2 linked regions of the Oryzias latipes genome follow. The protein of the gene in region 1 purifies or fractionates together with the protein of each later gene. This does not show direct contact. Links are inferred from orthologs where the notes say so. Each region holds a gene or a part of one and is shown on either strand. Other genes may lie near its edges. The genes, in order: cytoplasmic FMR1-interacting protein 2 and wasf2.

What was found.
Region 2: the proteins of cytoplasmic FMR1-interacting protein 2 (region 1) and wasf2 purify together in Homo sapiens (co-immunoprecipitation; 3 studies listed by BioGRID and IntAct, with this or other methods). This does not show direct contact. The link is inferred for Oryzias latipes from reciprocal best matches to the Homo sapiens genes CYFIP2 and WASF2.

The regions. Positions count from the first base shown.
Region 1 is NC_019868.2:21,204,518-21,208,337, reverse strand, and holds part of cytoplasmic FMR1-interacting protein 2, read right to left. Parts: coding exon 3,727-3,820; intron 3,615-3,726; coding exon 3,518-3,614; intron 3,028-3,517; coding exon 2,899-3,027; intron 2,811-2,898; coding exon 2,706-2,810; intron 2,620-2,705; coding exon 2,531-2,619; intron 2,421-2,530; coding exon 2,183-2,420; intron 1,635-2,182; coding exon 1,482-1,634; intron 1,288-1,481; coding exon 1,148-1,287; intron 1,058-1,147; coding exon 910-1,057; intron 105-909; coding exon 1-104. UniProt on the Homo sapiens protein: Involved in T-cell adhesion and p53/TP53-dependent induction of apoptosis. Does not bind RNA. As component of the WAVE1 complex, required for BDNF-NTRK2 endocytic trafficking and signaling from early endosomes.
Region 2 is NC_019869.2:21,800,183-21,804,428, reverse strand, and holds the start of wasf2 (wiskott-Aldrich syndrome protein family member 2), read left to right. Parts: upstream 1-1,325; 5' UTR 1,326-1,456; intron 1,457-3,707; 5' UTR 3,708-3,738; coding exon 3,739-3,871; intron 3,872-4,009; coding exon 4,010-4,144; intron 4,145-4,227; coding exon 4,228-4,246. UniProt on the Homo sapiens protein: Downstream effector molecule involved in the transmission of signals from tyrosine kinase receptors and small GTPases to the actin cytoskeleton. Promotes formation of actin filaments. Part of the WAVE complex that regulates lamellipodia formation.

The sequences.
Region 1 (3,820 bases):
TCGATGGCCTGCACTATGGGTCCATCCAAACTGCTGCGGAGAGTCTTCTTCGATCCACTTTTGTCTGCTATCAGGGACTCCAGCATGGTGCGGACCATGTACAACTGCACAGGAAGACAACCAAACATCAAAATGCTTTTTATTTTTCACAAATTAAGAAACAAAAAATGCTTAAAGTCCCACTTGTGTTTTATTTTGATCTAGTATCCCAGTGGTCTTTTAATTATTATGTTGTTTTTCGCCAATTTTTTTAAAAACCTGTGGACATTGTTCCTATGGAGTGGCAGTAGTTCATTAGAAATTAATCTTCCCCCTCCCTGTTGGTGAGAGCAGGGATCTTGTGGCCCGCTCCGTGCATTTTTTTTATATCACAAATAAGCTCTTTTTACAAACCAAATTTTATCGTCTGCTTCCGTTTCAAAACTACTTGAACTAAAAAAAAAAAAATCCGAAATGCAATTTTAAACGTAACTTTCTTTAGAGTATGTCTTTATAGTTCAATTCAATTAATTCATTCATTCAATACAAAAGGGAACAAACTACAACATCAAAGATATTTGCCACTTAGATAAATAAACTGGACAATCAATTTTTGATTTCATGCAAAGCATGAAAAAATTTATAAAAAATAGAGGTATTGCCTCTTTCTGAAGAAAAATAAGACATTTTCTCATATTGTTGCCATCACAGAAAGAACACTAACCCCCTTTGAAGCTGGCAATACTGATTGTCTTCACTTTTAAAACCTGCCTTCATCTCTGGTGAGACAGATTCCCCTTTGATTATTATCTTTTCCTTTGAAAAAATAAAATAAAAATTGTGTGCCTGGCAATCCTTTCCCCAAATAACCCAAATAACATGCACCTTGCACCTTCTATGCCAAGCAGCCTGGTATGTTTTATGCTTTACCTGGGTGCTGGAGGGTCCCACAGCTCTACGGGGCACCTTGATGTCAAAACCGCCCTTTGGATCCTTTTCGCCTCTCAGACAGGGGTCATTCGGAGGCTCTCTTGCTCCTTCCCAGTCACAGACAGTCTTTCGAATTGCCTGGAGAACACTTTAAAAAAAAAAAAAAAAATCCCACAGTTGGTACTTCATCTCTTGCAGGCTGAATCCAAAAGGGATTATCTGATTCACTTTGCAGTACCTAATGAGGACATTCTTCTTCTTGCGCACCGCTTGGCGTAGCGGCTCTCTGAGGGTCATTTGAGCAAAGTCTTGCAGGGCTGCATAGATTGTATTCCTGATAGCCTGATTGAACACCGACTCCATACGACCCATGAGCACCTACACAGCAAATCCCACAGAACCACCATTATGCATGTCTTCAGGACTGAGACCTCTTTATTTAGCACCTGAGCTATAAATTAAGTTGAAATAAAACTATTTAGCAGACACCATATCTGTCCAGACACCGTTTCTAAATGTCCTCCTGCATTGAACATCAATTAGCGAACACTTTATGTGTCGGCAGTGTTTACCTGCAGCCCTTTAATCATAGCAATGACCTCCACCAGGGCAAACTTCTCCTCACTGGTGTAGTTGTACCTTGTGGCGCGTTCATACTCTTCTGCTGTGCCTGGACAGTCCTTATTACAGAATTTATCTGTGGGATGTACCAACTTCCATGAGTACTGAAAGAGACAAAAGGAGTGTTGGAAATAGGTCAAATGGAAAAAAAAAAGTTAAAGTTCTATCGACTGCAACACAGGTCAGCTACGTGACGTGTTCTCTGCATTTGACCCATCCCCCAGGGGAGCGGTGCAGACACAGCCATGTTCAGTGACCTTTTGGGGGTTTAACCCCCAAATCCAACCTCTTTATTGCTAAGTGTCAAGCAGGGAGACATTGGGTCCCTTTCGTGCGACTCAACTGTGGATTTGAACTCACGGCCTTCCAGTCTCAGGGCAGACACTCTCCCACGGGGCTAGTTTTTGAAGACCCACACCGAATTGCCATTTTTATTCAAATTCAAAAAGCCTGTGTTGTTTTCTAGTATTTGATAGAAATTCAACTCCAAGTTGTGGGCAGGACTGTTGGTGCAGGGCAACCCCGCTCCCCTTTCCCATCATCCACCTGTTTATATGTAGTGGGTCTTTAAGCAAAAATTGCTTAAAAAAACTCTAGAAACCTCTTTATCGTATTGAAGAGTTGGCTAAACTTCATCCAATTCTTAACTTACCACTTCCATGACGTGGGTGCTCCACTTTGACAACAGCTGCAGACCCCTCAGAGCCAGGTCAAACAGCTCCCTGTACTCCTCATCAGACTTCTGGCTGTCCAGCCCGGAACCCGTCACCACTTCGCTGTTGCTGTAGCGCGCAAGCTCCGAGATGAAGCGAATGTGGTCGTCCCTGATCTGCACCATCTGCTCACACAGGTTGTACTGCGGTGAGATGCTGCTCTGAGTGCACGTCCACCTGCGCACAAAAGACGGCGGCGTTTCACTGGAGACGCCTCGTGCAGGAAACATAGAGGAACTGTACAGGTCGATCCGAAAAGCAGCATTTCGTTGGCAGGGTTTCCTTACTTGGACTTGTTTTCCTCGTAGTGAGCACTTGTCTCGATGTAGCGTGACAACTCGATCTGCATGTCTCCAAAAAGTGGTACGACTTGAAGCTGAAAATTACAGTGCATGAACGCCTCACCCATTTGTTTTTTTTATGTTAGTCGCTAAAATGTAGTTAAAGCAGCTGGAGCCTTACTTTGAAGAATTTGTCAATCTTGCTCAAGTTGATCCTCTTCTTGGCGTCTAATTTGTAGATATTACTTACATTTCCATCCATCAAGTACAGACCAAAGCCCATAACCTGGAAGGCACAAGGAGAGCACTTGCTTAAAATAAACATCAACATGGATATCAGAGCTTTACTACCCTTTAAGTTGAGCTGCACAGACCTTTAGCAGCATGTGTTTCTCACTCGGCGTCAAATACATTTTGTTCTCATAATAGTCAACGCAGATGTTGACAATATCAGCCAAAAGTTCTTCATATCCTGGAATCACCTCCAGCTGCTGGTGCAGGCACTAAAAAAATGAACACACTACAGATTAGACACGGAAAATGAAGCCGTTTTTGTCATCTTGTAGATTTTATAAATTTGACAATAAGAAAAGAATTTTGTTTTAGTCACAATATATATTACTGTACGCATTTTGTCCCTTTATTTTGTTTAAATTAAAGAAGTTAATTGAGAATTATACAAAATTGAATGACTTTATAATTTTATAGGTTATGCTATTTTAGACTACTTCTAATATTCTCATTTGGTTTATATTCATTCATCAGCAGAGAAAGCTAAGTCAAACCCTAATCTAACCAGCTCTGTGCATAAACAGTGAACCCAATTCTCCAACGTCTTTCCACTTTTGTTCACTGTAAAGAAAAAAAAAAAAACATCTTTTGATTTGAATATGCAGTTTTATTAAAAAAAAATAGAAAAAAACAGCTCGGATTAACACTAACCTTTTAAATCTAATTTTCAACCTCATACATGTGAAAAGGACACAAACAAACCTGAGTGATCCTGTTATGGTTTGCTAAAAACATGGAAAGATTTTGGGACTCCTGGATGGACTGAGGGTCGGCCATCTTCCTCAAGAACTGAGCAGCTCTAAAAGGCAGAAGACAGTGGAAAACTTTTACTTTTCGTTCTAAAAAAAATAACATTTTTATTTTATTTTCAAAGCTACTTTAAAACTGTAAACCAAATGACTGCTGGCTACCGTTTGTAAGCAGAGTGATCGTTCTTCACACTACACTTCATATTCTTGAGCTCATCCAGCACTGCGAACATGTTGATGAATTTTCCCAGGGTGA
Region 2 (4,246 bases), on another chromosome or scaffold:
GTTTGTGGCTTTGCATGCTGGGAATAAACTTTTGATCTCATAGGATTCCAGTCCTTTCTTTATGTAGTAAAGTAAAAACATCATAAAAATGTTGTCAAATTGTTTGTTTCCCCACAAAAGGCTGGTAACAACCTCAAATTCCCTTATTTGTTTTAAATCAAGAGTCATCTTTTTTTTAAAAAAAACAAAGCCGCTTTACTTGAGTACAATTTTGGCAGCGCTATACTAGACCTTTCTCAACCAATTTGGTCTCCTCATAATAATTACTGAAAAAAATAGACTAATATCAACTGATGTTTTCTTTTAAAAACAAAATGTAACTTAAAGACAACATATTGTTAACCAGTTGCATAATTCGACATTGCTTATCACTAATTTCATCAAGGAATAAGCTTTGATGCAATTATTGATTATTTTTTTGCCTTTTTTTGCTGAATACATGATTGTATCCTCACAGTTTAAGCTTGCACACCTCCAAAAACAATCAGCTGTTATGATATGAATAGTTAACATAACCCAGACATTTTTCTATTGAATATATTTAAAAAATGGGAACAAAAACATATGTTATAGATGTGCAAAGCAGAAGTGCTTTTACAAATGTAAGGCTCAGTAACAAGACAGAAAATTCAAAAACAATCAAAGAAGGAAAGAGGAAACAAAGAGAGTAAATCTGTTTGTAGCAAATATTTCTGTATATAAGTCTTCAAAATAAGAGTATTTATCAAATTTATCTAAATGCACCATTGTCCACAAGATATCTCACAAAAGATTTGAGAATGTGTTTCCCATTTGTTATTTCTACATTTGTTTATATTATATTTTCATTTTAATCATATTTTAATTTTGTTTTTATGTTCTAACTTCCCCAAACATAATTAATAGACGCCAATCATTTAATAGACATTTTTTATATCCAGTGTCTTTCCATACAGTATGTGTACGTTTGTTATAGATACAAAAATTAATGTATACATAAATTTTTACAGTATTGAACCTGCCTGTGCAAATAAAATCCTTAAACCCATAAAGTCAAAACTTTTTATCAAATATTTTGAACTATATAACCAAAGAGAATCTTCCATGTGTTTCTCTCCACAGATGCCAGTCATTCCTCGGACGCGTTCCAACTTGCTGAAGCAGAAGCTGGAAAAAAATCCCTCCTCCGCCCTAATTTACGAAAATTGCGGACAGATGTTTGTCACTAGTTAGGGTGGAGTTGCGTGTTTTACGTTGAAACGTCCACATCCTGTTCTTGGTGAAATCAGACGACAGTCGCACGAGCCAATCAACTTTGAGGAAGTCTGCCAGCAGCCAATCGGAAGTTTAGAATTCCGGGACTTACTCTCCTGGTATCGTTCGACAGTTTACTGTACCGCTCAACTCTTCTGAAGAAAATCAGGAGACAGCACAATTTTTAGAGTGGATATAAAACGTGAAAGTGCCATTTCTGCGGGTAAGTGAAATATTTTCTTAAGAATAGTTTTCTTTGTAAAGTGACGGGGGTAGATATTTGTTAGTTTGACTGTTTCCTCGAGATAAGAGTCGCCTACAAGTTACTTCCTGCTCTGACGAGGAGGCCGAGTTGCACTTAGCATGTTTTAGCTAATGTTGTGGGAATAAAAATACCTTATTTCTTATGGTTTATCCGAGAAAGCTCAAAACTCGACATTATGGTTATACTTACATTATTCTACTGGGGGAGGGGGGTTGTAAGGTACAACATCATGGGTTTCAGATAGCTAACTAAACATCTTGGCTTAGGTAGGAACGAACAATTCGGAGCATTTTCCGTAGAAACCTTGGAAATAATAAATACGCAGTTAGCCATGTAGCATTTAGACCGTGATACATGACTTTTCTTTTCTTTTTTTTTAAATGAAAGCGCCCACGTTGTTGTCAGTGTGAATGGAGCTCGACAGGGTGTAGTAGTTCTCTGAAGGTCTGCTGTCACTCACTGCAGATATCTCTGTTGACATTATCTTTACTTTTTCCGCGCGCTAAACTAAACTAAATAAGTCATAGGCATGATGTGCGCGCGCGCGGACGTTAACAACATTCACCATATAATGAAGAATTTGATTTCTGCTGCCTCAGTAGACAGTATAAAAAAGGCTTCGTAGTTCTTCATGTGGAACCTATTGAGTTCCCATAAGGCAGTAGTTAGAAATCTGTCTGGCAGGGTTTTGCTTCTGCTTTTTTTTTGTCTCTTTATTTTTATACATGTTGGCCTAAGCATGTGACCTTTGCAGAGTTTAGTTCAGAGTTTGGTTATTCATCTGTCTATAAAGGTCCTTAAGGGCCAGTTATCACTGCAAAACACAGAGATGGTTTAAATTCACATGCTTTGATGGAATTCTTTGTTCAAAATTGTATTCAAAAATATATATTTTTATAATAATAATAATAATAATAATAATACTAATGGATTGGATTTATCTGCACTAAAAGCTCTTACAATGTGTCCATTATTCATTCACTCGTCATTCATACGCTTTTCTACACCAGTGGAGCCCCACTGGAGGCAGGGAAGGGGAAGTGTCTTGCCCAAGGACACAATTATAGTTGACTGGAGGGAGCGGGGATCGAACCGCCGACCTGCTCCACCACCAGAGCCACTGCCTCCCATTTGGCCTCCCTTTGGTTTTAAAAACAGTGTGTACTTGCATAGTGACTTCAACTTAAAAAAGGGAAACTTTCACCTACCAACGTGATGAATTCCTACAATGAAAAATAGAGGGGATCCGATTGTTGTTGTTTTGTTTTAGGTTTTTTTTTTTTATAAACCTACCCTTCTACTGGTCTGCGTACTCATTTCTCCCAGGTTGGTAAAAAAAATAATAATAATTTCGTTGCATCTCTTCTTACGCCTAATCAAAGCCAGAATTTTTGGCTTTGAGTCCATTAATGAAGAAAAAAACAGGATTGTTTCAAATGTTTTGAATTAAAATCTTCTCTTCTTTAGGCCTAAAAGTAGGATCAGATTTGGCCTTTAAAAACCCACTTTGATCAATTGTAAAAAATGTCGATTTTATTGTCTGTCACAAAGACGATCTTTTTCAAACAGCATTTTTTTGTTGTTGTCTGCTCCTGATTCATAATCATTTGGATAAAGGAAAACTGAGAAACACAACTTTATGCTTAATTTACTTAATATACGTTCTCAATCATCAGAAAAATGAACACATTAAAAACAGCAAAAACACAATTTTCATTAAGTGGGTCTTAAAAAGGAGAGTATTTCAGTCTGAAAATAACTGTGCGTTTACATCAGTATTTCAGGTCATAGATCTTGTATCCAATTTTTTAACACTATTACTAACATTGTCAATAAAACAAAGAAATTCCTCTCGATTAAAAGGGTTGCACCAACTTAGAATATATTTTTTCTCAAACCCCAAAATGCCCACATAGGATTTTCCAGTGAACATTGTCTTTGCATTGTGCTGCAGCTGTTCATAAATGTTAGACATGAATCTTTATTGGCTTTTCCTGATTGATGAGTTAAGAGTCTTTATTGTTAGAGAGGTACTTTAGTTCAGCACTGGCTGTTATAGAATGTGAATTTTTCATAGCTAACCATTTAACAGGATGCACAAACAGACGTGCAAACCAACCTGGTTGGAGGGTCCTCTCTAAACACTTTGGTTTTTTTCTTCCCTTTTTGAATGTAGTTCATTACTGAATCGTGTTTTGTACACATACAGGGTTTGGCCGTCCTACCTGCCGACCCCCACCATGCCTTTGGTGACTAGAAACATAGAGCCACGGCATGTGTGTCGCCAGACCATCCCATCCACCATCCGCAGTGAGCTGGAATGCGTCACCAATATCAGCCTGGCTAACATCATCCGACAGCTCGGCAGCCTCAGTGAGTATGAATGTGGAGCTGAGCAAAAATTGAGTAACATCTTGAGGCCCATTCTATACATTTGCTACAGTAAATGAATGGTTAAAGCCTTTTTAAAAGGATGATTTTTGTCTTAAGCTACATTCTTTGTTTTTTAAGGTAAATTTGCAGAGGATGTCTTTGGGGAGCTGTTTGTTGAGGCCGGATCTTTCGCTCTTAGAGTGGACACACTTGTCAAAAGAGTGGAATGTCTGCAGGTTAAAGTCACCCAACTAGACCCTAAAGAGGAGGAAGGTATGTACTTTTTTTTCACGTCACATCAGTCATCGACACTTCAGTTTCTTTTTTTCAATAAAATAATTGTCTTTTTCTCTCAGTCTCTCTACAGGCCATCAC